Linked DNA regions of Mus musculus: all the other regions are reported to be linked to region 6. The links are microRNA targets in miRTarBase. Many come from high-throughput screens and were not tested one by one. Region 6 holds a microRNA gene; each other region holds the end of a gene's coding sequence. Distances are from middle to middle.
What was found. Region 6 holds the annotated microRNA mmu-miR-7b-5p (UGGAAGACUUGUGAUUUUGUUGUU, at 2,959-2,982, shown strand). A microRNA usually pairs through its seed, bases 2 to 8, with sites in the 3' UTR of a target mRNA and lowers its output. Matches are read on the target gene's strand: a 7mer-m8 pairs with bases 2 to 8, a 7mer-A1 pairs with bases 2 to 7 and ends in A, and an 8mer does both.

Region 1: miRTarBase lists Lims1 as a target of mmu-miR-7b-5p. The part of its 3' UTR that is shown has no 7-base or 8-base seed match.
Region 2: the mRNA of Tafa1 is a reported target of mmu-miR-7b-5p. Seed matches in the 3' UTR shown: 7mer-A1 at 4,371-4,377 and 7mer-A1 at 3,741-3,747.
Region 3: miRTarBase lists Trip10 as a target of mmu-miR-7b-5p. The part of its 3' UTR that is shown has no 7-base or 8-base seed match.
Region 4: the mRNA of Zbtb43 is a reported target of mmu-miR-7b-5p. Seed matches in the 3' UTR shown: 7mer-A1 at 1,090-1,096, 7mer-A1 at 2,636-2,642 and 7mer-A1 at 3,983-3,989.
Region 5: the mRNA of Naa30 is a reported target of mmu-miR-7b-5p. The part of its 3' UTR that is shown has no 7-base or 8-base seed match.

What each region holds. Positions count from the first base shown.
Region 1 is chr10:58,421,106-58,426,179 of GRCm38, reverse strand. Lims1 (LIM and senescent cell antigen-like domains 1) reads right to left here. Exons shown (of 11, transcript NM_001193303.1): 11 at 1,489-4,726. The coding sequence ends at 4,725. Among named protein-coding and RNA genes, the nearest start is that of Ranbp2, 23 kb to the left of the region's middle.
Region 2 is chr6:96,654,157-96,659,230 of GRCm38, reverse strand. Tafa1 (TAFA chemokine like family member 1) reads right to left here. Exons shown (of 5, transcript NM_182808.3): 5 at 2,033-4,464. The coding sequence ends at 4,447. Among named protein-coding and RNA genes, the nearest start is that of Gm26011, 96 kb to the right of the region's middle.
Region 3 is chr17:57,262,612-57,267,685 of GRCm38, forward strand. It overlaps Trip10 (thyroid hormone receptor interactor 10), which reads left to right. Exons shown (of 15, transcript NM_001242389.1): 15 at 389-1,086. The coding sequence ends at 537. It also overlaps the pseudogene Gm46575. Among named protein-coding and RNA genes, the nearest start is that of Vav1, 14 kb to the right of the region's middle.
Region 4 is chr2:33,449,467-33,454,540 of GRCm38, reverse strand. It overlaps Zbtb43 (zinc finger and BTB domain containing 43), which reads left to right. Exons shown (of 3, transcript NM_001025594.1): 3 at 1-4,254. The coding sequence ends at 844. Among named protein-coding and RNA genes, the nearest start is that of Zbtb43, 17 kb to the left of the region's middle.
Region 5 is chr14:49,187,291-49,192,364 of GRCm38, reverse strand. It overlaps Naa30 (N(alpha)-acetyltransferase 30, NatC catalytic subunit), which reads right to left. Exons shown (of 5, transcript NM_027492.2): 5 at 1,477-4,815. The coding sequence ends at 4,678. Among named protein-coding and RNA genes, the nearest start is that of Naa30, 18 kb to the right of the region's middle.
Region 6 is chr17:56,240,059-56,245,132 of GRCm38, forward strand. It overlaps Mir7b (microRNA 7b), which reads left to right and starts at 2,930; the gene lies at 2,930-3,040. A230051N06Rik (RIKEN cDNA A230051N06 gene) reads left to right here and starts at 1,658. Exons shown (of 2, transcript NR_155493.1): 1 at 1,658-1,756; 2 at 2,098-2,747.

The DNA of each region.
Region 1 (5,074 bases), not on the chromosome of region 6:
TAGTTTGATTGGAATCATGGGCCTACCCAGTCCTCTTGTCCCTTTTACAGACTGTTTAATTAACTGGTTATTAAACTCTTTCAAACGAACAGCCTTCGTACCTGAGGACCCAATGCTACCCCTTTTATAATGGGTCAATGTGTTGCCTTTCCCTCAGACCACAGTCTACACTCAGCTCTTCCCATTGGCTGAGCCCATCCTGCTGAGAAGATTCTTATGTAGCCACAGCGACAGCTTTGGAAGGCCCATTGCTTTACAACATACAAGGAAAGGGTTTAATCGACTGAAATGAAAACTCTTGTTCTTGCCCCGTGCCACTCTGGTGTGATGTGATTGTGAACCTTGACTTTGTAAACCCTACCCTGCTTCACTTCAGAGTAAGTGTACTTTATGGCAGGAGCCTGCTCTGTCACAGGCTTTAGTAAAGCACTCTGAAGTGGCCTTATATTCATGGTGGTCTGTAATCTACTCATGTGGTTATTTCAAGGGTACACAAAGGAAAGTCCCAGCTGTCCTGTGAAGAGAGGGAAATCCAAGTGAGAGCTGGAATTCCACTCAGTGGCAGAGCGCTTACTGGATGTTAGGGTTGGAATATGGACTATCTCCATGAGGCTCCAGTGGGTGGGTCTTAAGGGTTATAGCCCAGAAATGATTGCAGCCAAGGCTTCCCTCTACTTCTTGATCAGCCCAGATGTGAGCAAGCTGACACACACTTCCTCATCACAAGAGACTCTTCATCCTTTAAATTGCTTCTTGTCAAGCATTTGGTCAGTGTGCAATGAATTGGTATATCTACCAAACACAAGGCCAGGTCTGGAATGGGTCCCTAGAACTGGAAAATGTTGTTTATTCTGACATCCAACAATTTCTGTGACATTGTGGGATGTTGTCTTTGGAGTAAGACAGTTAGTACCATTGTAATCATAGCTGCTGATTACTTGCAAGACCCTGAGCAAAGCAGTTTCCTTATAGGAGGTGTGTGGGGGAGGCCACTAGACCTCATTTGAGATAGGAGCTACTTGTTCCCTCCTGCACGCCCTGAGCCCAGATGTAAGTGATTCTGCTCCAGAGGGGCGTGTTGTGAGAGGCACTAGAATATGTAGGAGGAAAGGTAACTGAAGGGTGGGGCTCCATTTACGCAGCTTTGGAGGTTGTCCCAGTGCTGCAAGGATGCAGCTTTTCTATGATGCAGCTGTCCTAAAGTTATCCAAATTCTTGTAAGTAGCCTTCACCCAAACTGCTGGAAATTAGTTCAGTGAAATCACCACATCAGCAAACTATGTGGGTAGAATGGTTCTCTGTCTGGGATGAGTAGACATTTATCTGTGTTGCCCCAGGAAAAGTTAATACAAAAGGTGCTAAAACTTGGCTTGTATACCATACCCAGGCCATTTTCTTTTACTTACATATATGATGTTTCTAACATATTATACTAAATGAATATTTGAATTCTCAAAGATAGGTCAAACTAAATGATATGTAACACACTATGAATAATTATGAATATTTATTAAGCACCAAAAGTACACAGCAATGGTTGCTACATAAAAAGCACAATTATTGATATAATTTCTTGCCATTAAGCTTACAATCTAAAATAAAATACAAGGATATTGTCAGCCTACATCAAAGTTTCCCTAACTTGAAATTGGCTAATTTGGCAAATGGATGAGGCAAAATGACCTATTTCAGGCAAAGTGTTATAATAAGGCTTTGAACATGACACAAAAAATCTTTTTTGTGTATCCATTTTCCATGTTATATTAGGATAAGGACAAAAAGGGCACTTAGAAATTTCATAAGCACAATGAATTATTTCAGATTGTTCTCAGAAATTCAAACAGATGTTCACTGACAAATGCCAGCAGCCAGTGAAACCCCACAACTAATAGGAAGTAGATGAAGTCTCTGTCTTGGCCCCATTTAGACCTCCATCTTCCACACTAAGGGCTCTAATGATTTACCCCACAGTGAAAAGCACCATCTCTAGATGAATTACCACATAATTATGAGATCAAACTTACTGGAATATTCCTGTCTGAAGAGAAGTGAGCAAAGACAGCAGTGGGGACTCTGGCTTAAGCGATGTCACGTAAGCAAAGGCAGTCAGGCAAGGCCACACACCTCGAAAGGGATGGGGAAAGCACGGGAATGAGTGCTTTTCTGCTCCATACTTCCAGTGAGGTATGTAAGTTACATCAAGACGCTAGACTACAAGTTCTATCTGCCTAAACGCATGTACAATAGTTCATAAATACTTCTAAGGTAGCCACTGCTAGTCATTCTTAGCTGACAAAGGCACACGGAAGAAATTTTGGTTCTTATTGTCAAAAGCAAAGACAAATTTAAAATGCTTAACAAACACAAATCATGTATATTTTTAGTCACATATAATTCTCTTAATATGAAAAGGATATTAGGAAATAAAATGATTGGTTACAAGTTAGTTATCTGGAAACAGAAATGTATTCCATAATGTGCATAATCAAGTATTTTAAAAATTCATGATTATAAACTTTTAATGGCAGAGTAACAGCATCCTGAGATATCCTTTTTGTGTGTACACATCCATATTTCTGAATGTGTGCATGTGTGTGTGTGGATGTGGAGGCTAGGGATCAGTCTAGGCGGCCCTTCCTCAGGAGGCATCCACCTTGCTTTTTGGAATACAGGATTTCCCCCTTGGATCTGGGGCTCACTAGTTAGGCTGAGTTTGGCTACCTCGTAAAATCCAGGGATCTGCTCCCTCCAAGTTTAAACTCAGGTCCTAAGGCTGGTGTGAGTCCATTACTGACTGAACGTTTTCCTAGGCCCCAGAGATATTCTTTACGGCAAAACAATACACTAGTGTTTTTGTTTGTGGGGATGTTTTGGGGGATAGTATCTCACACTGTAACCTAGGATTTGTCTCCAACTCCTGGTAATCTTTCTGCCTCAGCCTCCCAAATGCTGAGACTACAATGTGAGTCATTATATTCAGCAGTATTTGCAAAATATATCTTGGCAACTGAAAAAGAAGGTAACATGTTAGCAGCAGAAAAATTTAAAAAATGTTCATACTCTTGCATATTGAGTTCATACAAACAGAATGGCCCAGACATTTCAGGATAAACAGTTTTATAAAGTAGAACTCCCCAATTTTTCCTTAGAGTTGATACTCTTACCACCCTCTTTCAGTCTAAAGGTATCATTTATACTGCTTTACTGCTTTATAGTAAACAAAACCCAGTTATGACATTTGAAATAAAAAAGCCTTCATTAAAATGTTTTAGTATATCAGCATAGTTCTAATAAGAGGACAGGAATTAACTTTCACTGGCTTCCTGAGAAAAGAATTTTTAAAGTATGTATCAGTGGTGAATGATTCTAAATTTATGAATCTCAATCAAAATACTCATTTTGATATTATAAGAAATATCTAGAATTCCTGATATAGGATGCAGTTTTCTAAGGCAAGGCAAGTTAGATTATGTATGAAGTATAGATATTAGCACAAAGATAATACGAGATACAGTCATTCTTTCTGAAACAAGGTTTTAATATGCAGCCCTGGGTGGCCTAGGACTCACAGAGATCTGCCTGCAGAGAGCTGGGATTGAAGCCTAGTGCCACCACACCTGGCTCACGCTCACTTTTGAAAGCCATACATTCGAAGCTGCATTATAGTGCATTTCATGTCCCATTTGAATACTATGCATTTTATGTGTAATATAGTTTTAAAATGCTTCATTTCCCCAACATCACAATGTATGCAATATTTTCCAGATAACTGGCAAATTTTTGTTTTGTTTTGCTTAAAAATGTAAAAGATGCATTAGTAGTTACAAGTATGTTAAGTAATTTTATGAAGGAAAAATTTATAAGGAGAACAAAATAGAAAACTAAGCTTAGTGATTTAATAAAAAAAGAAATCAGTCATCCTGAAATGTTTTTGCTTCTTAGTAATATGCATGTTCCTTTTACAATGCTAACTGGATAAGCACATGACAACATAGGAACTGTTTGGGCACTTATCTTCCCATACAGTTCCCAGTATATGAATGGGAAATGATTTTCTTATGCGATCAGGGAAGCAAAGCTTATGTGAGTCCCGTGAAAGCTGACTCTTTATAACAGTGGTTGTCTATTATGTTTATTAACTGTGTGTTGGCGCATATGCACCATGGCCATCTGTGGAGGTTAGAGAACAACTTGTGGGAGTAAGTTCTTGCTCCACATGACCCATGTGGACACTGTCTCAGATACTCTCTTAAGGATTCAACTTAGTACTAGGCTGGCAGCAAGTGCTTTGGTTGGTCCATAGAGCAGGGTGTTTAACTCTGAAGTTAAATTTATATTTTGGATGGCTTAATTAAAACTACCCTTTAACCTTTTTTTTTTGTTTGTTTTTGTTTTTGGTTATATACTTTTAATGCCTACAGACTAATATGGCTAAAGAAATGAAAGTCCTGATTTCATCTGTGTTTTACATAGAAATAAACATTTTCTTTCGTTTTTAAATGAGAAAAGGGAAATGAAGAAAACCATTCTAATGCTCTGACATAGTTTTAAGCAAGGGTAGATCAGGTTAAGTAACATTGATTAGAAGAGAGAGAAAAAAGACACCAAAAGTTATTTCCTTCCTAAGGTCTCAGATAGTTTCTTAAGTCTTTTCTTCAGCTCCAAAGGAAATTTCTCGTAGCACTTCTTACAGACTGGCTTCATGTCAAATTCCACAAATTTATTCCTAAAGGGAATTATATATAAAAAAGAAATTAGTGGAAATATATTCAGCACACACATGCACAATATATACACAAACATGATAAAGTGACATAAATTCATGAAAAGACATAAATGAAGACGCAATGTAACATAGTATATAAAATCTCTATGTACATGTCAGTAAAGAACTGTAATTCTAATGTCAATTCTTATTATGATAAATGTCAAGAGTGACTGGTATCAGTTGAAAATATGCTTATACAATGGTTCTGTACCCCTACATTTAGAATATGTGATGTTTTAAGCACTGGGCCTTCTCTTCATCCCAAATAAAGTCAATCAAACTTTAAAGCATCAGGCAGCGCTTTCC
Region 2 (5,074 bases), not on the chromosome of region 6:
AAATGCTCCCTTTCTTTAGTTCTGCCTATTATCACATCTCTTTTTGTATTTAGAAAATATATGGAGATACCCTCACAATTTTACTAAACACTAACACTTCGGTTTAGAAGGAAGCAGCTCATGCAAAATGATAATGACACATTCCTATGTCAAACAGACCCTAAGAGCTTTTGAAATGGAACTGCCAAGCTTAATTAGTAGAGACACGCTGTATGTGAGGAATGGACTATTCTACTCCTATAAACAATATTTATAACCTCCATAACTTACTGTATCAGTGACAGTGGCAAGGTGGCGTAATATATTGCACTATAAAAATCACTATATTGCTTTGTGAAAGCTACACGATTTAATCAAAAAAAAAAAAAAAAAAGATGTTGGCTGTGTGTTGGTGAAAGCACTTGTCACTCCATGCTGGAAAAATGCTGAGTAGTTAACTTCTCAGTGTGCTTGAGGGGTTGATGAAGAGGTAAATCCAAGATCTCCAAGTGTCAACAAATGAACTTGACTCGCTTTTAAAAGTCTTTGACTTAGAGCAAGCTTCACTTTTCCTTTTTTCAAGAACAGAACTCTGGCTGAAGATATATATATTCCAATTATGTTACCACATTATTCATGGTACATTGGGCATGAGCTTAAAGCTGTTATTAGTCATACACATTGATCCCTTTACTATCATTCCCACGAGATAAAAATTTGTGCACCCCAAATGTGCAGGCACAGTAGGCAGATGGTAGGTACCAAATTCCCCAAACTTGAACAAGTTAAATGCAAACACAATTTGATGGTTCATACATTTGTGTAAGTGACTTGGATAAATCCAAATTGAATCTGACATTTACAAACATTTGCACTGTCTTACTGGATGGCTGCCTGATTCTGATATGGTCTGCTTTCCTGCTTTTTTTTTTTCCTCTAGGTTTCTTCAGAGGATACTACTACATAAAGTCATGGATGCGGGTGAGCTAACAAATGTAGCCCTTTAGGCTAGCTCTTACATTGAGTTATAGCTTCTGGTTCCAGAGCAGAAAAACATGACCCACACATACTGTGTGTTAGCAGAATTGTCTTCCAAAGTAAAGTTTTGCACAACAGAGGAACCCAAACAATGAATTCATGAAACTCTTAGGCAAATGGATGCATCTGGAGGATATCATCCTGAGTGAGGTAACCCAATCACAAAAGAACACACATGATATTCACTCACTGATAAGCGGATATTAGCCCAGAAACTTAGAATATCCAAGATAAAATTTGCAAAACACATGAAACTCAAGAAGAAGGAAGACCAAAGTGTGGATACTTTGTTCCTTCTTAGAATGGGGAACAAAATACCCATGGAAGTAGTTACAGAGGCAAAGTTCGGTGCTGAGACGGAAGGAAAGACCATCCAGAGACTGCCCCACCTGGGGATCCATCCCATATACAACCACTAAACCCAGACACTTGCATATGCCAGCAAGATTTTGCTGACAGGTCCCTGACATGGCTCTCTCTTGTGAGGCTATGTCAATGTCTGGCAAATACAGAAGTGGATGCTCACAGTCATCTATTGGATGGAACACAGGGCCTCTAATGAAGGAGCTAGAGAAAGTACCCAAGGAGCTAAAGGGGTCTGTCAGCCTATAGGAGGAACAACAATATGAACTAATCAGTACCCCTCAGAGCTATGTCTCTAGTTGCATATGTAGCAGAGGATGGCCTAGTCTGCCAACAATGGTAGGAGAGGCCCTTGGTCTTGCGAAGATCATATGCCCCAGTACAGGGGAATGCCAGGGCCAGGAAGCAGGAGTGGGTGGGTTGGGGAGCAGGGTGGGGGGAGAGTAGGGTTTCGGGGATAGCATTTGAAATGTAAATGAAGAAAATATCTAATAAAAAATCCCCCCCCAAAAGGAGCAGAGCCTGGTTTCTTCTCTTCTCATTGGACTTTCATCTGGGATCAAAGTCAGAAGACTCTAGGAGACACAAATGTCATAACCAAGTCAACCCTTCAGAGACCAAGACTCAATAATAACATTTGCAGCCATTTTAATGAACTTGGCTTATTTATTAGGACTGTTAGGGACTTTTATGCAAAGCTCTTGATTTCTGCATTTCCCAAAAATCTGAAGATATGGCAATGTGGTTATGGTAAATTCACCTAGAAGTAAATTTCTGTAGGCTCCCATTTCACATGATCCCCTATTGATCACAATGATGCCCCGCCATGCTGGAATCCTGATTTACTTACTTGTTTTTGTTTTGAACCAGGCTCTCTTGTTCTAATCTTCCTTGATGTGATACCATCTTTGGGTATACTAAAGGTTCTACTAAATTCTGTGGCAAATATTTCTATTTTAATTTTTCCTCAAGTGTATAATTCTGAGAGTTCATGGTTTTAATTTTAATCTGAAGTTGACATATGAAAGGTTGTTTTTACCAGCATATTGCTTGGCCCTTGAATCAGTGCTGTAACTAAGAAATGAGTGCTGTCACAAATGGTTTTCTTTGTTTTGGGGCAGGGGTCTTGCTTTGTATCCCAGGCTGACTTTGAACTTGCAATCTTCCTACCTCCATGTTTCAAGTACTGGGATCTCAAATGATGCCTAGCTATCACTTGCCACCACACATGGATACTGGTATAGATTTTGTTATCTTTTAGCAAATATCCACCAAAGCATTTGGAAGTCTCAATTTTACAGTACGGATTCTATTTCTATCTCTAGATGCATTCATTTTACAGGCCTTCACAATACAGAATCAAAAAAAAAATTTTTTTTTTTTGGTTAGAACTTCACACATTCAATTAAACTTCAGGCTTTCTGGGTATAATAAGAGGTAATCTTGAGTTTTACTTGAAGTTTGATCCTAAAAAGTACAGACTTAGGGACTACAGTGCTGTGATTTACTAAGAGGCTCTAAAAACACAGATGACAGAGAATAATTTGGGAAGAAAAAAAAAACCCTGCAGTTGTGAGATGACATCGGAGTGTAAAATCCCATTAAAATTTTCCCCAGGAAAACTAGACCTTAAGTAGGTGTTTACCTCTTACCTCTCAGCTCAGTAACTCGAAAAAGACAGGGATAATGGATTTTAGGTTTTTGTTGTTTTTTACCTCTCATTGGTGTGTGTGTGTGTGTGTGTGTGTGTGTGTGTGTGTGAGCCCCATATATATTATCAGAGTGACCCACATGGAATCCCAGAAATTGTAATTGGATATTTTACTACAATCATATTAATGAGTTTCTAAGTTTCAAAAATATTATTGTTGGAAATAATAGCCTCCGTAGTCTCGTGATCTCTCGGTTTAGTTAAAAGAGAGTCTATAAAACTAAATGGCAGACAAAGAGGACGAGTGGGTTAAGAAAGAAGTTATTTACCACTTTAATAGGGCTGTCCAACACTTGGTCACATAGATCATTGGGAAACCTAATTGCTTCCATAGCTTTCCTATCTCATCAGAGGAGAGATGAACACTCTAGGAAAAAGCAAAGCAAACATAGAAAGAGGCGCCATGATAAAACGTGTCGCTACAGCACTATGGAGTTAACAATGGCAGACTTTGGATTTAATCAGAGGACACTTCTGTAGTCTAGGACAGCTATACAAAGCCCTAAGACACTGTATTTACAGGACTTATTAATATAGGGATCTACATCCTACCATCCTGCCAGAGTCTTAATAGCACGGTGGAGCAGCTCCCTCAAGAATCCCCATTTGCTTATCTGTGGAAAAGCTAGTAGTTCTAAAAATATTTTCCTGGAAGAGGTTAGAACGGTTATTATATATCAATCGAATATAAAGTATGATTATGTAAGCCAAGCTTGCATGCTAATATTGCACAGGATAGAAAGCAATAAATCAAGACAAGGAGCTTCCTTGGGTCACCAGGTAGAAACAGGGGGAAGCTCTTGACTCAGTACTGTTAGGATGCCTCAGCTTCCAGGAGTCGGCTTGCAGCTGGCCTTCCAGGGAGAGTGCCATGTTGGATTTTCACATGGGCATGTATCTTCCTTACCGAGAGAAAAAGGAATGGCAAACAAAACAAAACCGACCAAACATCCAAAACTGAAAGGGATACACCAGCCACCTCACATTGTGGTACTGTTCATTTCTTGAAGAGAATATATAATATTTCAAAATATTATATATACATATATATTTCAAATGGTACAAAGTAATGTTAGTTCCAAATTAGAAGACAGTTGATCGTTCTTCATGATCCTCCAAATTTCACAGAGAAAACTCATTTTTTTTTAAAAGCCATTTTCCTTGATGTTGCCAGAAAATCCCGAGTCTTCTTCTTTTGGGATACTGTGTATCAGAGTAAGTGCACTGTGGTTATCTGGTAACCAAAGTGCAGATAAGAGATCCACTTGGCTTGCAACTATGGAAGATGTTTTAAATCCTCACAACGTATATTCCACAGGTTGTTCTTTTTCCTATTTATATAACAAATGCTTCTGTTAGGTTCTTGGGTGAATCTGAAACCAAAGAAAGAGAAATCTCAGTAAGTGCAGTAAGAAATGAAGCCATAAAGAAGGGTGTTCATGCAGAAAATGAGGGTGCCTTTAATTTTATTGTGTTGCTTTATTTGGATGTCTTTCACATGATACTCAAAGTCCATAGACAGATCTTTCATGTTGTAATAAATCCATTAAGTTCCTCTGTGTCAAAACTGAGCACAATTCTTAGAGAAATGTCTATCAAGAACTGGGTTCATGGGGATACAATCTCTGTTCAGTTCCAAGGGTTTTGTGCCAATAAGGACCCCACAGTTGGTTTATTTCCTTATTGCTGTTGCCTTGAATTTACTAATAAATTTTTAATGAGGATCTTGCATTTTCTTGTTGCCCTGGGTCATGCAAATTATGTAATCACTTTCTGTTTCTATGATTAGAATTTGAACTGATTATCCCATAGCCTTATGAAGTTGTCCTATTGTAAAACATTGAGGAGTGGCCATTGGAAAGTTCTTGTCTAGGTTAGTCCATGTGTGTGGAGAAACAGATGAAGAACTATTCTGTCCAATGACAAGTGTTAAATAGAATCAAGAACATGCCTGAATATATGCGTGCTACTTAATCCATCTCA
Region 3 (5,074 bases), 1.0 Mb from region 6:
GAGGAGTCACCTTAAGGAAGGGTTTATTTTCTTATTTGAAACCATTTTTGTGTTGTGTGTGAGAGAGGTGGGTTCCCTCCTACTGTCTATGTCCTCGGTATCAAACATGACAGCTGGCATCTTTACCCACAGAGCTGCCTCAGACTCTCAATTTTCCTTTGTATAGTACAGGACCCCAACCAGTGGGATGGTGTTGCCCATATTCATGGTGGGGCTTCCCATCTTAATTCAGACAATCTAGAAGCTCCCTCTCGGACATCCCAGAAGTTTGTCTCTGAGATTAGAAGATCCCAGGTTCCCCTTACACCAGGGGATGTAGCAGTTGCTTGGAGCCATGCCTTCTGATCAGATTCATCAAATCTGACCTGCCCCCGCTACTCCCCAACAGGATCCAGCGAGGGAACCGTCTCCATGTCCGAGGGGGAAGACCTCAGCCTGATGGAGGAAGACAAGGGTGATGGATGGACGCGGGTCAGGAGGAAACAGGGAGCTGAGGGCTACGTGCCCACCTCTTACCTCCGAGTCACACTCAACTGAACCCCACCAGAGGGGGACGAGGGGCAGGGCTGTCAGCTGCTGCTTCTGGGCCACAGGGGGGGCCCCCAGGACCTTGCACTTTATTCCTGCCCACGTGGCTTTTGGCTGAGACCTGTGTAACCTGCTGTCCCTCACTCACCTGTCACCTGTCACCCTACGGGGACCCACTTGTGGCTTCCCACGTGGTTGTACATATTTGTCATTTAAGATCTTTCTTCCCGCCGCTTGGCTTGAGCCAAGTTTTGTTTTATATTAAAAAAGTATATATAATTATATAAAGTTCTTGGAGTCTGCACCGCCAGTGTCGGGAATGGACCTTCAAAAGGCATCTCTGTGGAGAGGTGGTTTGGGAGTCGGGTTTTGGATGCTCTTGCAGAGGACCAGGAGTTGGTTTTCAAAAGCAGCTCCCAAAGCTCACAGACATCCAAGCCTAGGCCCCCTCTGGCCGACTCTGGCAGTCGCACTCATACCTGCATGTATCCTGCCCAAGTTAAAATGAGATAAAAGCTTTCTTATGAGCCCCGTGTGGAATAAATGGAGGTGAACCTCGGTGCGCTCTGGCAAGCCTGCCTTGTGCATGTTACCCATGCTTGTGATCTCCATGCTCTAGAACAGGCATGTCTACCTTCCGTTTCCCTAGAGTGCAGAGATTTCCCAGCTGCCGGGATGAGTGGTTCATACTGGAGCGTGAGTGTTGTTCTGTGGATACTTGAGTGGGTTTATTGGTAAAAAGGAGGCAGCTGTTACACCCCAGTCTCTTGGGGTCCATTTTTGTACCCCAGTCTCTTGGGGTCCATTTTTGCACCCCAGTCTCTTGGGGTCCATTTTAAGAGGAAGATTCTTATAAACTTGGACCTGGGAGGGGAGCAGAATTCAAAACAATTTCCCCATAGTTTTCATAGAGCCCAGGCTGGCCTCAAACTTATGTAGCTAAGGATGGTCTTGAACTCCTGATTCTCTCATCTGCATTTCCCAAGTGCTGGCGTGATGGATGTGGGCACCAAGTTCAGTTTGTAGCCTCTTGAATAGCTGGAGGCAGTGTCCTTGGGGTCCCGCCAGTATAAGAGGGATGGGGGATGGGCTCTCAGCCATGAGGTTCTTAGTTGATGGGACAGGATGTGATAGAACTTCTGTATGCGGTCAGCTCTGGCAGCCTGGACTCCCTTGTTCCCCCACAGTAGGCAGTACAGGAAGTTGGTGGTCAGTGTCTCCCATAGTGCTGGGTTGGGTCTGGATCCTGTAGGCAGAGTCAGGTGCCCTGGGGGTGTGGCTCAGGCCTCTCCCATACCTGTCCTTTAATGCTAAGAACTTTGACCTGGTAGGAGCCATGGGGGAGTGCCTGGGCAGGGGTTAGCAGAAGGGTACAGGAGAGCAGGTTGCAGGACAACCATGGGGCACAAGGGTGGCCAGTCTGGATGCTCAGTGCAGGGGTCCCTGCCTTAGGGGACATGCCTGGAGGGTGGGATTGAGGGGCATGTCCACCCAGCTTACCCCTTTTGAGGGTGGAGACATCTGAGGTCTTAGAAATGACCCAGCATAAGAGTCTTAGCAGTTGGGTTGGGCCCAGCAAAGAGATGGGATTCTGACTAGGGAAGGGGTCTTGGAGGGGATGGATCCCAGTGATCATCCGGGAGATCTTCCTAGGCCAGAGGTTGGAGTGAGACACCATGGTTGTAGCTCTGCTGGCTCAGTGGTCCCTTTTATTGTGGGAAGCAATATTTGGTGTTCATGACTGCAGTTAGACCCCTCTCCAGGGGTGAGGCGTCCCAGCTGGGTGAGACTGGAAAGCTTAGCCTAAGAGGCCTCCAAGGGACCCTTGTTCACCTTGCAGGCGCTGGGCAGCCGCCCTGCGAAACAGGGGTGCATCGTGGGCCACCTTGGTCCAGCCGCCCAGAGGTTTCTTCACCCTCCAGCAGGCGCACTCTACTGGCTTGCAGGGTACTGTGGGCAGAGTAGGATCTGGGCTGGGGACTGGCATAGGGCAGAGCCTAGGTGGAGCAAGGGCGTGGTCAAAGACTTGCGGGGAGTGGAAGGGCGGGGGCGTGGCGAAGTCAGGGATAGGAGCAGAGCCTAGGGAAGGGGAGGGTGCTTAGGATTAAGGAAGGATTTAGTTAAAGGAGGACCTAGGATGAGGCCAGGGAGGAATCTAGGACCTAGAGCAGGAGCGAGGAAGACTAGAGTGACTCGAAGAAATGGCAGGGGAGGAGCCTAAATAGCAAGGAGGGCTGGGAGGGGAAGCCTGGATCTGGGAAGGAGGCTAGGACAGGGGAGGAGCATATGACAAAGGTGGTAGCACAGAGCAGGAAGCCTAAAAGGGGGGGGGGGGGGAACTTAGGGCCGGGAGAGGATCAAGGAGCAGAATAGGAACCTAGGGTTGGTGGAGGTGGCTAAGCAACCCACTTCCTGCCTTCCCTCCCATCACAAACTCTCCTGCTGTCCCCAGACCCTTGCGTTCCACCTCTATAGAACTGAGGTGTTGGCGCTGGCCGGGGAGGCCCCTGGAAGAGCTCACAGCCGCTCTGAAAGGCCTGGTGGAGTTGGCACTGGTGCTGAGGCCAGGAGCGACAGGGGATCTGCTAGGACTGGCTGGAGTCATGGGTGCCCTGCTCATGCCCCACCTGAGTTGGGAACAGGGATGGAGAGGAAGCCATGCAGGGTGTAGGTGACAGGAAAGAGAGGGTGTAGGTGAGATTCCTGTCTCAGTATCCAGGTGTCACAGGCTTGAGAGCACCTGGCGTCATCTACGAAGGTGCCACATGGAGGCTGCGCTCTGGTCTTTAAACAAGAGCTAAAGTCTCTGATGCAGGCTCTAAATGAAGGTTCAGGTGAGAGGCCTTGACTGTGCCTTACCTGCCTAGAGCTGTTTCTTAACCTTAGCTCTCCCTTCCTAGTCACCTTCCTTCTCGGCTTCCCACCACCAAGCCTCTGGCTCTGGATAGCTTAGTCTGGGAATTTTTCTCTGCGTGCTGGGCACTGGGGGGGGCGGGGGGGGGAGTTCGCAGGATCTGGGGGAGCTATTTGGAGGCCAGGGAGGGTGACCAGAGTGGCTTAGAGGGAGCCTTTGCATGAAGCTGTCCATCAGAGACTCTGAGACTGTCTGTCATAGTTCCTAGGTGAGGCAGACCCTTCAGCAAGGTGGGTTCACTGTCTGCAGCGTGCAGGGCAGATCCAAAAGCAGGGGGTGCTTCGAAGACAAGGAGAAATAGGGTTGTGTACAGAGAAGGCAGCTCGGCAGAGGGGCTGGGAATGAGACGCAAGCCGCTGGCTTTCCTGCTTCAGCTACTGGTTCAGCCCAGTAACTGAGGACGTCTTCCCAGCGTCTGCAACCTCAGAGATAAACCTTCAACACTTTGGGAGCGTTCTGAATTCTGGATACTGGCTTTAAATTTGAAGGTGTTTGTGTCTGTGTGTTTGTGGGTGTGCACACACATGTATAAGGACGCCAGGGGATGGCATTCCAATTGTCCCTCAGGCGCCCACTGTTTGGAGAGGTGTCTGTCACTGGCCTGGAGATTCCTGACTAGGTCAGGCTGGTGAGCCATTGAGCCCTACCTGTCTCTAATAAAAATGTACCAGCAAGCTTGACTTTTTAAAGCATGGGCTCTGAGCTCAGGTCCTCATGCTTGGGCAAGCACTTTACCCCCTTGTAGCATCTCCCCAGCCTTTTTCCTTCCTTCCTTCCTTCCTTCCTTCCTTCCTTCCTTCCTTCCTTCCTTCCTTCCTTCCTTCCTTCCTCCCTCCCTCCCTCCCTCCCTCCCTCCCTCCCTCCCTCTTTCTTTCTTTCTTTCTTTCTTTCTTTCTTTCTTTCTTTCTTTCTTTCTTTCTTTCTTTCTTTCTTTCTTTTTCCGAGAGAGAGGGTCTTGGTGGATAGTGTAGGTTGACTTGAATCAGAGACCCTCATGACTTTACCTCTCTAGTAGCTGGGCTGACAAGGCCCAGTGCATACACACACTCGAATGCACACTTATGGCCCTGTGTCAGTACAGTAGAACCTCTCAGTTGACCAGAGCAAGAAACCAAGAGGTGGGGCCAGGGGACTGAGCTCACTTAAGGGAGAGTGGCAGAGCCAATCTCTGAGCCATTGGCACTTTGGGGACCCCTCACCTGCTCTGGTGCCATCTTTACCTCTTCCTGAATGGTACAGACCTGCTGTCTGACTGGAGCTCCCCTTGCTAGGCCTAGTCAAAAAAGGTTTAAAGGGCCGAGGGACCATCCTGAGAGGAGAAAATGCCACCAACAAATATCATCAATCTGCCAGCCACATCCGCGATGGCATTTCTCAGTTCTTAGTTATGAGACTAGACCAGCAGAGGTGGAGGCAGGGGGATCAGTAGCTCAGGGTCATGCTCCACTACACAGGGACTTTGAGTCCATCCTGGGTCCCGTGAGACCCTGTCTGAAATACGACAGAAGAACCCTCCATACCGAGTACCTGAAAGGCCTGGCTGCAGCCCGGCTGTCTGTGAGCACATCCTCACTGAGGCTGAGCATCAGTGGCCTCTGATGACTTAACAGGCTTGGAGACCACAGCTCCTGT
Region 4 (5,074 bases), not on the chromosome of region 6:
TCAGGTCACCGAGCACGAGTATTTGCCCAGTAACTCGTCTACTGAGCACGACCGACTGAGCACAGAGATGGCCAGCCAGGACGGGGAGGAGGGGACCAATGACAGTACTGAGTTCCACTACACCCGGCCTCTGTATAGCAAGCCCAGCATCATGGCTCATAGGCGCTGGATCCACGTGAAGCCTGAGCGCTTGGAACAGGCATGGGATGGCATGGATGTTCACGCAGCCTACGATGAGCACCAGGTCACTGAATCCGTCAATACCATGCAGACGGATCACTCTGCCCAGCCTTCGGGAGCAGAGGAGGAGTTCCAAATTGTGGAAAAGAAAGTGGAAGTAGAGTTTGATGAGCAAGCAGAAGGCAGCAGCTATGATGAACAGGTGGACTTCTATGGCTCCTCCATGGAAGAGTTCTCTGGAGAAAAGTTGGGTGGGAATCTAATTGGACACAAACAGGAGGCTGCCCTTGCCGCAGGCTACAGTGAGAATATTGAAATGGCGATGGGGATAAAAGAAGAGGCGTCCCACTTAGGATTCTCGGCCACCGACAAGCTGTATCCTTGTCAGTGTGGGAAAAGTTTCACGCACAAAAGTCAGCGAGATCGACACATGAGCATGCACCTCGGTCTTCGCCCGTATGGCTGTAGTGTCTGTGGTAAGAAATTCAAAATGAAGCACCATCTCGTGGGCCACATGAAAATTCATACAGGCATAAAGCCCTACGAGTGTAATATCTGTGCAAAGAGATTTATGTGGAGGGACAGTTTCCACAGGCATGTGACTTCTTGTACCAAGTCCTATGAAGCTGCAAAGGCTGAGCAGAATACAACTGAGGCTAACTAAAAATAGGGTCTGGCCCTTGAGTGGCATGCATAAAAATAAACTATGGTAATTAATGCAAATCTGGGCACAGATGATGCGTGCCACTTGCTATTATGAGAGAGGCTTAAAAAAAAAAAAGATATTTCTGAAAGACCAGCTCTAAGTAGGCCAATTAAAAGATTTAATTTCTCAAATCTGTATGTTCTCATCCTGGCCTAAATGGATGATGGGGCTAAGTTCACCCAGTGCCCAGCTGGCAAGACAGCTCTTCCAGTCAGCAGTGGCTAAGGCAGGGGACTGGGTGGCAGAATCTAACCCAGTCCTGCCCAGGTGGCAGCGGCCGGCTGTCACTGTTGTCCTGAGGTCTTGTTGCATTTTGTTCTCTCCTGGTAGCTACAGGGCTTCTGGGCTTTGCTTTGGTAGCTGCATCTCTGGATGCTGCTCCCCTCAAGGCTACAGCAAGGACTCCTGGGCTGAGCTGTGAGCAGAGCTCTTTTTTGTCTACTTTCATACCGTTCTAAAGGTTCTAGCTAAAGCCCTGGTGATGTCAGGCGGAGCTTCAGAGTCCGAAGCAGGAGACACTGTCACCATGCTGCAGATTCTGGATAAGGCACGATTTTATGTTTAATTCTACTTGGTCAAGTCTATGGGTGCCAGAGATAGGTGTTTCTAGTTGGTGTGTTGTCCTACGCTTCCCTCATTTAATGGCAGGGGAAGACCAGTTTGCAGTGTCACACGACAGTGCTGGCTAGCAGTGACCTGTGGCTCCTCTGCCTTAGATCATGGTGCTACCCAAAAGGGCAGCCAGGGACCACAGCTCCTGAGACTAAGCCAGAATGGATGGCTGAGGGTTCTCCAGGAACAAGACGTTCCCAGACTCAGTAAGTGAGAGGCAGCAACTTATACACAGAAGGCTTGAGAAAGGAATCCTAAAAACACTGGTGTGGACAGTGCTCAGTTAGAGGGTGCGCTGAGCAATATTGTCAGCTCTTTGTGGCTTCAGAGGGGGAAGGAGCCCTACATTAAGCAACGTCATCTACAGACTCATGTTCCCCAGTCACAGAGAAAGCTGCATTTACAAGTCCCAGTAGTTTATGCATACACACACCATACATACATACATACATACATACATACACCATCTCTGCAAGGACAAGGCTGTCCTTGAGGTCTGTTCTGCATGGTCAGATGTTTTAGGTTGGGAAGAAAGCTTAAGCTCAGAAAGCTTTAAGCCTGTGACGGGCCTGAGGCTCCTGCTGGGTAGGGGTCTGGTGTGCTTTGCGTTACTGGCCAAAGCAGCTTAGGGAGGAAAAGGTTTATGTCAGCTCACACCACCGTCAGTGAGGAAACTCCAGGCAGGAACTTGAACATTGACAGTCAAGACTGCTGGCCAGACACGCCCACAGGCCACTCCCACAGCAGAGACTCCCTCTGGCTCTAGGCTGTGTCAGACAGAGCTAGACAGTAGGGCAGGGGTTTGCTCCTATATTATCATCTGTTTCATTTTTAAAGTTTGGCTTTCTCTAACATGACAGACATTTCTGGCAAAAGCCTCTGGTCTTCAGGCCCTGACACAAAGGATGTACCTTTGACCTTTGTCTGGAAAGAGGAAAGAAAAAAGAAAATATGGACTCGCCAGTAAATGTTTGTGATCAAGATTACAAAACAGGGATCTATTTACAAACACTGTATCAGTCTTGGCATATAAAAGCACTTTGTATTAAACCTTTATTATAAGTATAGATGTAGGGTTGTTTTTGTTTTAAAATCTAGAAACTAGGTATTACCTCCTAGTGGTTTGCTACATTCAGATCTTCCAGTGTCTGCCAGTCAGCAGCCCTGTCCCTGTCCCTGTCCCTGAGAAGTGAATACAGATGTACAGTCACACTCACACGCCTCCTACCCTTCACGTATTAGAGGCCAGTGGGTTTCCGGATGACCCTGAGCTTGGTGAGGATGAAGTGCTTTTGGCTTCTTAGTATTTCTACACTGAGGCAGTTAAGCTGTTCTGTTGTCAGAAGCAACCCTCATGTTCATGCCTTCTGCCTGCTGGGCAGATCCATGTGCTGTCTCCCATTGAAGTCTATTCATATAAGAGCTGAGACCTTTGCAGGGAAGAGTTTGGGGGGTAAAACAAGCCTGGTCCTTGGGTTGTACTGAGTCAGTAACCTTTGTCAAAAGCTGACAAAGCTTTCGTTCAGTTGGAATGTGGCAGACCCTGTGAGAAGGTGGGGTGTCCACGGTCCAGAAGGCTTCTGACCTGCCTTTCCCAGTAGAGAGCCTTTCTGGCAGCCTGCCCTGTTAGAGTACCAGCCTCTCCCCTCACCACTGCCTTAGGAAATAAATCCTCACCCTTCCAGAAGAGCCTGACTAGTCTAGTCGTGGGCAGCACTGCCCACCAGTACAATGTATGTCTCCACTCTGAGCCTTGGCTGGTTGTCTCCAGTCCGAGTACAAAGGGCTTCAAGGCCCCACTGGTTGCGTTTCCTAATCTGCAGGCACATGCCTTCAATCTGGGATGCACACGTCACAGGAGCTCCTCTTGTGCTGTGGTTTACCTTGTGTTCTCCCGAGCCCTGGCCCAGGACCTGGGATTTCTGCTCTCACCACCTCCGCCTACATCTTCAGAGCCTGCCCTAAAGGCTCCCTTCCATTGCAGGAGAGAGGAGTTTCCTGAACCACTCTGACCCTGGGCCGCCTTTTAGCTGTTGGGAAAGCTACGTGCTACCGTGGGTGATGTACCCTGAGAAGTTGAACATTCTGGAAAAGGTGTACTGGGGCTGAGTCCCCAAGGTCGGGGTGGAGCTTTGCTGTGCCCACAGATGTGGTTGCTCCCTAAATTCTCAGATACTTTGGAAATGCTGAGGGCCATAGGCCAGGCTATCCTTGGCCTCCTGGGAACTAGGCTGCTTTGACCGTAAAACTAACTTTATCCAGAGAATCCTGGGTTGCTTTGGGTTTTGTTTTTCTTTTTGTTCTCTCTCTGCTATTTACATATTTAAAGGTACTAGTTTGCAAACCTCTACTGATAGTGCCCTGTGGGAAGATGCTGGAACACCTTTTGCAAATGTGATTTTTTTTTTCATTTTAAATGTTGCTTGAAGCCTGTGTCATGTCAGTTGCTGCTGCCTCCTTTCCTTTTATGAGGGTCCCAATGTTTCTTCCAGAAAGTTATTTTATTTATGCAAGTCAGGTGACTCTTAGACCACAGAACCATGGGATGATAAGCAGATTGTCATTAGGTGCATATCATGGATATTTGTGAACCACCTGTGTTTTAGAAGTTAAATAGTTCTTTCTAGAATTGCTGTCTTCAGTGTACAGCGTGGTTTTAATTGAATGTTACCGTTTAATATTTTCTTCTTATAGAAGAGACCATGTCCTTTTGTATGACAAGTTTTAATAAATGTTACCTGTCCATTTTGTACAAAGTTGTGTTGTTTTCACTCATGTTTTGGTTCTGGCTTTCGTAGTCTGATTTTAAAGTTGTATCATCACCCTTCCATAGGTAAAGACGACACAGGCCGTTCACAGGTGTCATGAGTGCCTGATCTCAGAATGGCTGCCGACGGTTATCCCATCCAAACCGGCCTGCCACAAGCGTTGCCTGGTTCCATCCTCCCCCTGGGAAGAGGCTGACTGGCCCCTTGGCCTTTGGCTTGTGGTCAGGAGCCATCGAAGATGCAGGTGGGAGGGGTGTGATGGAGAAGCCGAGGGAGGGGCTTTACCCCCCAGCTGTCTCTAGGTGCATGTTGGCAGTGGGCAGCCTCTCCTTCCTAGGCCACAGTTCCAGACAGTAAGCTTTGGTACCACACCCTCTTCTTGTCCCTTCCAGTTCCATATTGGACCCGTCTCCCTGCTTTTTTGCCAGCCCTCAGGTGCTTCACCGCCCTGCTGGCTGTTTCTCATTGGGACCCCACGCACACTATGGGCTTCTGTGCTCTGTAACGTCCCCATGTGCCTCAGTCGGGCCCTTTCCTTGTCTTCCTGCATCCCCTTCTCCCCGAAAAGCCCAGCCCTGGAAAAGCAGCAGCCTGCTTCGGAGGCCCCACATACTTCCTCACAACAGCTCATTACCACAGACACTGCTTGTTTTAGACCATCTTCCCACACAAACCTTCTGTTACCACTGTTTGTTGTGAGGCACCCCCACCCCCACCCCCACCGCCCTGTTGCTGATTTTGAAGCCAGCTCCGGATTGCCTGGGCTCACTTAGCGGTCTCTAGGCAGGGAAGGCCTCCGGAAGACCCT
Region 5 (5,074 bases), not on the chromosome of region 6:
GAGAGCTCACCAACGATTATACCAAGCCAAGTACTCTTCTGGGAGGCGCCATCTTCACTGCTGCCTTTTACTGAACTACAGCTAACCAAATGATCAGTGAAGATGAAGTGATATTCCATGAAAACAGACAAAATTAACCTGTTGGAACTAAGAACATCTGCCTTTAGCCTCATCGAGTATTTAAAATGTTTAAATAGGACATATCTCCATAGTCCAGGTTGACCATTGATAAAATGAGATCTATTTTATTTAAAAGGGATATTATTTCAAATTAATATAAATAAACCGTTGGGCCTAATGCTACAGGTTTTCAAAGCTAAAATGTGTTAATCATCTCAGAACAGTCTCTGGCATTTGAGTCTATAGTCTCTGTAATTCTAAACACTTGCAACAGTAAGATGCAAGAATTGGTTTTTTTCAAAGGGTCATTCACACAAGGGGCAGGAGGCAGGAACACTACAAAGAAAAGTGTTAACATACAAACAGCTCAGTTAGAGCTTTTGCTCAGAGGCAACTTTAAATTATTCACATCTCAATAAGCTTTCTTCAGATGTATATTATCTAAAGCCCTGCTCTCCATACATGAGCCAACAGCCACAGGCAACTCATGTCACATAAGTAAAATGAGTTCTGTCCTTGGGAGCCTTTGGGAGCTCAGGAGTGAAGGACGACTAGTAGCCCCATCCTCAAGAGTGTACAGAGCATTTCCATCATTGTGAACAGTGCACATGGGTAGCTCATCTGAAAAAGAAGAAGACAACTCCGCTATACGCTGTAGTGCTTTTTGGGTTTTTTAAAGTTGTTTATAAATCATCAAGGTCTGGACACCAATGGTCTCACATTTCTGTCCCTCATTTACACTATTCTATGAGACATTTGGGTCCAAGTACAACATGAGCTCAACTAGATGCTTCACACTGCTACAAAGATCAAAACTTAATCTAAGTTTCACACTATTATAAAGAACAAATATTCAGTAAGAATGACAAAATTGAGCAGTCACAATTAAATGATCTCGTCCTCCCACTGATCCTCAGTACTTCAAATATGAAAGAATACATAACTACCCACTCAAGTTTCTCCCAAGAATAGGTCAAAAAGCCCATTAGATCCTGCTCCACTTCAGTGTTTAACAAAAGGGGAAAAAATACAACTTACACAAGAAGGTTTGTACAAACAGTAAAACTCAAAACTGACTTAGGAATAAGTTGCTAGGAGCAAGGATAAAAAGCAAACTACTTTCAGTTGATGAATGCTTAAAAATGTTCTCCCTGGTACTGCTAGCCCAGTTGACTAACAAGTACACTTAGCAATCAAGTTTTTTATTTTATTTCCAAATTTACTTTGTCAGAATATAAAGTAGAGAGATAGCACCTATATCGTTCCTTCCAAATAACTCCTGATAGAGGGCAGTGAGAAATAGAACAGGTTGCTTTTTGATTATCTGAAACCAAATTATAGAATGCACACAGCTGTATCTTAAAGAAAAATGCAAACACAACTTAACCATACTTTATTTGACTGTATCTTATTCAGACAGCTTGCACATTTCAAATCCCATCAAATCTCTCTCTCCAAAAGGATAGGGGTCAATAGGAGAAAATTATGCAGCAATATCCCCAGTCATTAAACAGCAGTCCAATATTTTTGAGATACACGTGATAGTTCATAGATACTCAACTCATATGTGATGACAATGTAACTTATGGTTATGTTTTTACAAACCTGAAAGCCCTTGGACATTATAGCACTCATCCTAGTAATGTAGACGTATACTGAAAAGTAACTGGTGTACTGCCAACCTGATTTCCTGTATGGTCCTAGAAAGTAATGAACCTCATAATTTTTAGACACCATAATAAACATACACATCTAGTCATATATACCAGCCAAGACCTTAACACAGGGCATGGTAAGAGTTAAAACATGACAAACTCCTTTACATAGATTTGTCTTACGTGTGTATTAGAGGAGGCAGAAAATGGTAAAATCAATTTTTATCTTATTTTGCTGACTTCAACATCAAGCAGTAATATGTTTTATGATCTGTAGACTTGGATTATTCCCGAGTTAAGTAGTTTCATCCCAATGTATGGGAAATTACAAGACTGGTAGCATACCCGTTAGCTTTCTTCAATACTAACATATACAGCTTCATGGTAGCATGTATTAAATGTTCAGCAGTATCAACTGCTAAACCAGTGTCAGTGGATAGATAGTACAGTCAGTCTTAAAGAGGCAGCACCCCACTAAAAGAAAGTTGCACCAATTTTGCTCAGTTTTAGCCAAGTGAACCCACTGTCAATTATAAATGGAACCACTTTAAGCTGATAAAAGAGAATTGAAAGCCTAATGTCAAATTAAAGTTGAAGCAATTCAACTTGCAAAGTTTTGTTACTAGGTTATCAAATTAGGTTAAAATTTTAGGTTTAAAAAAAGGGTCAAGTAATTAAAAACATCAAAGTATACACTGATATTCAACATGTATCCATCAATTGAGCAGTATTGTAATGATCTGATATTTTAGTCACATAGTTAAGATCATGTTCACAAATCATCAGACAATCAGTTACTTCAGCAATTCTGAACTGAAGGGTAGTAGTGATACTTCCCTGACAACCTAGGAAGAACAAAACTTTTGAATTGGTAAGTCTAGCACATATCTATTTTACAACTATATCCATTAGAGTGAGTCAAGAAAATGTATGTTCCTCAACAAGTCATCCCTATGTACCAGCAAATCAAAACAACTTTTGACGATGTCAAGTACACTGTTTAGCTACTTTCCTTCACACTGAAAATGAGAACAGAGGCATTATGATGACTGGCATTCTTCTAAATGCTGGGACCCAAATGAAGTTTGACCAAAACAGATTCAAAATGGTCAGCAGAAAAGCTGAGTACTATGTGGTTATCACATTTTTAATATTAAACTTTAAGGAGCAATATAAAATGGAAAGACACATTTTCTTAAAAATAAGGAACTATAAATGATCCCACCAGCAGGAAGTTTTTATTTTCAAATATAAACTGTGCATCTTTATTTTAAAAGTACTTGTTACCATGTTCACTTCCAAAATACTATACTGAGCAAAGAGCAGCTTTCCTTTAAAACAAACAAACAAAAAAAGCGCAACAAACTTTCCTGAAAAGGGGCCTTTACCAACTGTTAATGGAGGTAGGGTTTTTAAAAATACAGTAATTACAGCCATAAAATAAAATTCAAACCAAGTATTAGAGTAGAAGAAAAGTATATTCAAAAGAAAAAAACAACATGAATGCCAGATTCCTATAAGCATTTTTGAGAAACTGACTCTTGTTCCTTATGAGTGCTTAGGTATCCTAGTTAAATAAATTACTCATCACAGCTTTACCAACTCAACCCAAAGCAGGGAGCTACAATTTGCTAACATTACACTGATTAGCCAAAATCCACTGTAACTAATAAACACCTTGGCTGCTCAGAAAACCCAAAGAACTCATTAAAAAAATGTTTCATCCCTCTCCTTTTTTTCTGGAGGAACAAAGCAAAGGTCCCCCAACAATCTGCTCATGAGTAAAAAGAAAATAAATGCAGCTTGAAATGGATACAATGCTCCTTGAAATTCATTTCTAACACTAAACCAAAAGTGAAGTATTTTCAGAAATGGAAGCAATGTGAATTCAAATAAAGTTAAAAAGAAAAAAGAAAAAACCCAGCTAGTTTATAGAAGCTGTTCTTCACAGCTTATCAATCATTTTGATTAAATAAGATCATACCAATTTACATTAATTTTCTATTGTTTTCAAAAATTCCCCCATTCTCAAAAAAACAAAAACAAAAAAGTGCATCCAAACCCCACAATTCCCAGCTCCATCCCTTTAAGCCATTTCTCAGTTTCCCAAGTAGGGTCAGCTTCTTACTGTAAGGGAAGAAGGGACTTCCTTCTAAAGCAAAGTACTGCCACTCACCTAGAAAAACTGTCCAAATGATAAAAATCTGAAATAATTTATTATCAAATTTAGAATTTAAATAAAAACAAGTTTGCTTGCAAAGGTATTAAAGAAAAAGAAAAAGAGCATGCATTCAAAAACTAGAGATGAAGACAAGAATACTTATCTACACAGGCACTGGCAGACGCAATTTAATTGTCATCTTTACTCATCATAAGACAAATTCCACCCTACACTTTTCATCCACTAATCACTGAGGTACCAATATTCAAGATGGAAAATTTAATATTGAAAAAATAAAACCTAAATTGAAGCTTTTCCCTCACCCCCTTCAAAAAACTATGGCAGGTTTTGTGTGAAATGTTAGTATACTTAGGAGACTTTTACAATCTACATTGGCTTCTTGAAGGAACAAAAATCATGTCCCACTTACTGGTTCTGTGATAAAATGATCACTATATAAATAGCACTGTCAGCAGACTTTGCAAATGAACAAGTCTTGGCTATTAACTGGCACATCCTGCTGGTACCAACAGAACTCTTGAAGTTTAAAACAATCTCATTTAATTCAGAACAAATGCGCCATGCCAAAGTGCAACAAATATTGTGCAACACTCAATGGACACTGACAGATAACAGCTGCATGGGAATCACTAAATCCACCTGCAAAGCAATTCTGCACAAATTGCATTGCATGCAAAAGTCGCTTCCGTGTGGGTGGAGTCGTTCCTTGCTGTCAGTTCCTCAGCGCAGCCACAGTTTAAGTCGCAGTGCGTCAACTCCATTTAAATAGTATCTGAACAGCCTCTTATCTCGAACAAAACCAAGATTTTCATAAAGTTTCAAAGCAGACTTATTTGTAATTTCTGTTTCCAAAACAACCTTCAAAAAAGAAAAAAACTTAAGTTATAATTTTACACTTAAAAGCTGAGGAAGTATATAACCAGATCAAGCATTTTGAAAGTTTAAATATTATGATAAAATAAAACTGGCATACAGAAAATGTCATCAAAATGAGAAAAGCAATTATTTTTGTAATGCTTCCATTTTTAGTAATTGAACTACATGTTTATAATAAAACAAAAATGAACTAATTTTTGTGGAGAAAAACAGGTGTCATTTAAAGAGAAAGAGAAGAAAA
Region 6 (5,074 bases):
GATTCAATCCTGAGAGATGTGTGGGGGCAATGGAGCTGGAGGGTGAAGGCACTTGCTGTGGGGTGGCCTGAGTTCTATCCCTGGGACACATGTGGCAGAAGAAGAAAACCTACTCGTGCAAGGCTTTCACAGAGCTCCAGATAAGCACCATGGCGCGTGTGTGCACATGCATGAGGGTGGGCTTTCACACACCGTTTCACTTTCTATTGATTTGTATGTGCGGACATGGAACACAGGACCTCACAAATGTGAGAGAAGAAACCTGCCAAACAGCTTCCCGTAGCCCCAAACGATTCTCCAGCGTGGCAGTGGTGATGCCAACCTTTAATCCCAGCACTCAGGAGGCAGAGACAGGTTGATCTTTCTGAGTTTGAAGCCAGCCTGGTTTACACAGTGAGTTCCAGGACAGCCAGGGCTACACAATGAAGCCCTGTCTCAAAAAGCAAACAAGCAAGCAAGCAAGCAAACAAACAATAAAAAGAACAAGAATTCTCCAAAGGTTTAAAATGAATTAAATTAAATGTGGGCTGCAGGACCCACAAGCTCTCTGCTGACTTCTATGCATGTACTGTGCATGTGCACATAAATAAATAAATAAATAAATAAATAAATAAATAAATAAATAAATAAATAAATCTTATAATTTCAGGGAGATGACTTAGCTCTTTGAGGGACTGCAAGGCTCTGGGTTCATATCCAAATTGAAAGAATGGGAAGAAATAAGAGAGAAAAACAAAGGGCGTGGGGCATGCAAGTTTTACCCAAGAGACTGCTAGAAGGGAAAGGGACAACTGATCAGAGCTTAGATCTTGCAGGTGGCTTTCCAGGGTCTCATCCCAGGTTCCCTGCAGCCCCTCCTCCCATGCCCCTAGGGTGTATAGAATGAACCTGGCTTGCCAGCTCCGCAGCCTGAGGAGCTGGTAGGAGATTTACAAGCCTGAGTGTGTGTCCTCCCTGACTGTCTGTCCCTTTGGTGCTACAAAGGAAGCTATGTAAATGAAGGTGTGTGATGTGCCACACACCAGCCTTCCCAGTGCTGAGAAGGCTGAGGCAAGAGGATCACAAAAGTGAGAGAGACTGTGTTAGAGGGGGGAAACTGTGACTAGGGCTCAGGGACAGAGCGCTGGCCCAGCAATCAGAAAGCACTAAGTTCCATTCCCAGCACTGCATCAATCTAGTGTGGAGGCAAACTCCTGATGGGAGCCTGAGGCAGGAGAATCATAAGTTTGAGGTCATCATGGACTACAAATCAAGACCCTAACTCAAAACAAAACAAAAATCGCCAGAGCTCCGCCTCTATCCTACGCTTCTGTGAGTCTCATTCCCGCACACTTCATCTTCCCTGTGTAGAATTGGACTTTATTTTCAAAATCCCTCAATTTCTTCAAACATTTTTTTTCAGCTTCTCTGTCCCAGCAGGCACACGCTTGATGATCGCTAATCCTCTGGCTACTCAGTGATCAGGTTTTAGATGATCCTCTCGTGGAAACTTAACAGGCCACAGGACTACACCCTGACACCTTCTGGAGACCCCTAAAGAAGTTTTTGGACGGATGCCTGACTTTTATTCTGAAGCCGAGGCCTCAACCTATGAGGTAATCCTTGGAGCTTCATTCCAAGACGATTCCTATTGGTTCACTGGCTAAGCCCCACCCAGGGTTTCCAGCGCTCCGCCTTCCCCTTAAGCGCATAAAGGTGAAACGTCGGAAACTGGACAGCCACCGAGACACCTGCAGCTGCTGGTGAGCAGGAGAAGGTAAGGCACGAAGGAAGGAGGAAAAGGTGCGCTGAGGGAGGGAAGCGGGGACTCTGGGTACAATGCAAGTTGGCACATCTTCCAGAAGGCCAACTGGACTGTTTAGGAAGGGCAGAGAACCCAGGGCTGTCTCCCTGAGATGTGGGAGCAGGTGAGAGCCTTGCGCCTTCGTCCCCGCCTAGAACACCCCGGGTCCATGGGAAGAGATTAAAACAGAAGATGGGTCCCTAGGACGAAGAACAGAAACAAGGAGCGGGGCATTTTGGCAGAAGGCAGAAGCTGGGAGAGTGTCCTCGAGCCGCACTGACCACCCCCTCCCCCAATAACTAATTATGTTTCAGCACTGGAGACGCGGACAGCGCCATCCGGCTGAGGGACTCGGAGCAGAGTTCGGCTTCAGCACCAGGATTTCGGACAGCTCCCAGCGGGTCACGAAGAGACTAGGCTTCAGCACCCGGCCCCTGGCAGTGCCAAGCTCTCAACACCCAGCTTCAGGGATCGCCTTGGGGTCTGTTCTGGCGGAGAGTGTACAGGGAAGGAACCTCTTAATGGTTCTTGGCATTTGTCCTTTACGGAGGGATTTTTTTTTTCTTTTTTGAAACAGGGTTTTTTTGTGTGTACCTCTAGCTGTTCTGAAACTCACTATGTAGACTAGGCTGGCTTCAAACTCACAGAGTACAGGCGAAGCATTTGGTCAACGAGATGTTATGAGTGCCTCTGGGTGTACTAATTTCCAAAGTGAAGTGGTGAGGGGAAAGCCAGCCTCAATCCAACTTTAAATCTCAAGTTCTTTTTATTTTTAAAAAGAGTTTTTCTCTCAATTATATATATAATTATTATTATTTTAAAACACTGTAGACCAAGCTTTGAACTCCTTGTGTAGCCAAAGATGATCTTGAAGTTCTCATCCTCCTGCCTCTACTCCCTGCGTGCTGGGGTGACAAGTGTGTGCTCCTCGTGCCTGGAACAATAAATCCCACGTTGGTGATGTGCCAGGGTGTGAGTTGGGGGGCAGGTAGAGAATGAATCTTGCCTGTGTCTCAGGGGATGGAATGGAAAAGGGATGTCTAGGGAGGGTAAGTCAGTGAGTGGGGTTTGTTATGCTCAATCCTCTATGGAGAGAGAGAGAGAAGCACTTGAGGGTGTTGAACCTGGCGGAGGAGGATGAGGACGAGGAGCGGAGTACGTGAGCCAGTGCTATGTGGAAGACTTGTGATTTTGTTGTTCTGATATGATATGACAACAAGTCACAGCCAGCCTCATAGCGTGGACTCCTATCACCTTTCTCCTGAAATACACAAACAGGTAGGGGCAGGAAACTGGGACAGGAGGGGGTTAAGGGAAGTCTAGCACGGACAGGAGAGGGTGTCTAGCAAGGTCTCGGGCCCTGGGAGAGTGCAGGAGTGTTTCCCATGCTATTGGCCTGTCACTCAAACACATCTACATGATAGGATCAGAGACACAACCTCAGGGCCCTGGGTCACAGCACCGTGCTTTCTCTGGAGACTCAAATAGGGAATGGTGAGCCAGTGGAGTAACTCAGAGGGAAAGAGTGCTTTGAAATTAGGGAACCCAAGCTTGAGCCCCAGGATCAACTGGGTAGAAGGATAAAACCAACTCCTGCAAGTTGTCCTCTGACCATACATGTCCTGTGACACACATGCTTCCACACACAAATAAATAAACACACATAAAAATTTTTCTTTTTTTTTTTTTTAAGAGAGGGTTTCTGGGGCTGGTGAGATGGCTCAGTGGGTAAGAGCACCCGACTGCTCTTCCGAAGGTCCAGAGTTCAAATCCCAGCAACCACATGGTGGCTCACAACCATCTGTAATGAGATCTGACTCCCTCTTCTGGTGTCTGAAGACAGCTACAGTGTACTTACATATAATAAATAAATAAATCTTTAAAAAAAAAAAAAAGAATTACATTTAAAAAAAAAAAAAAAAGAGAGGGTTTCTGTATATAAACCTGGCTGTCTTAGAACTTACTCTGTAGACCAGGTTACCCTCAAATTCAGAGATCCACCTGCCTCTGCCTCCTGAGTGTTTGAATTAAAAGCATGTGCATACATAAAACTTTTTTTTTTTTTGGTTTTTTGAGACAGGGTTTCTCTGTATAGACCTGGCTGTTGCTCTGTAGACCAGGCTGGCCTCGAACTCAGAAATCTCCCTGCCTCTGTCTCCCAAGTGCTGGGATTAAAGGCATGCGCCACCACTGCCCGGCCATAAAACTTTTAAAAGAGGGATTGGCATCAAAGGTACTTCTAGAAAACCCTGAAATTCTTTTCTCTTTCTTGTTTTCTTTTCCTCACTCTTTTCACTTTGCCTGCTTTGAGACAGTGTCACCTGTAGTCCAGGCTTTTCTCTAACTCTGAATGTAGCCCAGGATGGCTTTGAACACTGAGTTCTCTTGCCTCCAGTCCCTGAGAACCATGCCTAGCATACACGGTGTTGGATTCAGAATTTCAAATGCTTTGACTGGGTACGGTACCCATGGAGCCCCAGCCCAATTTTCAATAAAACTCTGTGCCCGCCACACAAAGCAACCACTAGTTGCATGACTGATACCAAGAAAATGTGGACTTGTTGTCTGGTGGGTCATGGCATTCTTAACATTCAACACCTATCATCTGTGACATTCTAATGCAGTCACTAACCATCCCCCACTGTGCAATTCTCCCCAGCTGTCCTAGTGTGCATCCTGGTGCTGTGACAGGACCTTGACTCAAGAAAAGGGCAGGAAAGAGTTTATTCAGCTTACAATGATGGCCACACTCCATCACTGAGGGAAGTCAGGGCTGGAACCGGGAGGCAGGAGCTGATGCAGAGGCCATAGAGGGGTGTTGCTTACTGGTTGCTTACTTGCTTCCCCTGGCTTGCTCAGTCTTCTTTCTTATAGAATCTGGGACCACCAGTCCAAGGATGGCACCACCCACAATGGCCTTAAATCATTAATCATGAAAATACCTGATAAAGGCCTTTTCTCAATTGAGGTTCCTGCTTCCCTTAAGCTCCACCCGTGTAAAGCTGACATCAAACTCAGTCACACAGCAGCCCAGGGGCTGCTTTGTCCATGCAGTTTCCTCTCTTGGGTCTGCACAGTCCACTCACATAACCTCCCATAACCAACTCTGCCTTCTCCAGGCTTCAGCTCGGTGGGAGAAACTTCCTGTTACCTCACTGGTCAATTAGGACAAGACTTTGTTAACATTCTCAGCCTCCTGCAACGGCCACACTATTTAGGAAAGGCTGATACTCTCAAACAGAATGTTTACAGATCTCTTCTGGGGGACTCTAAGTGGGGCTCCACCCCTGA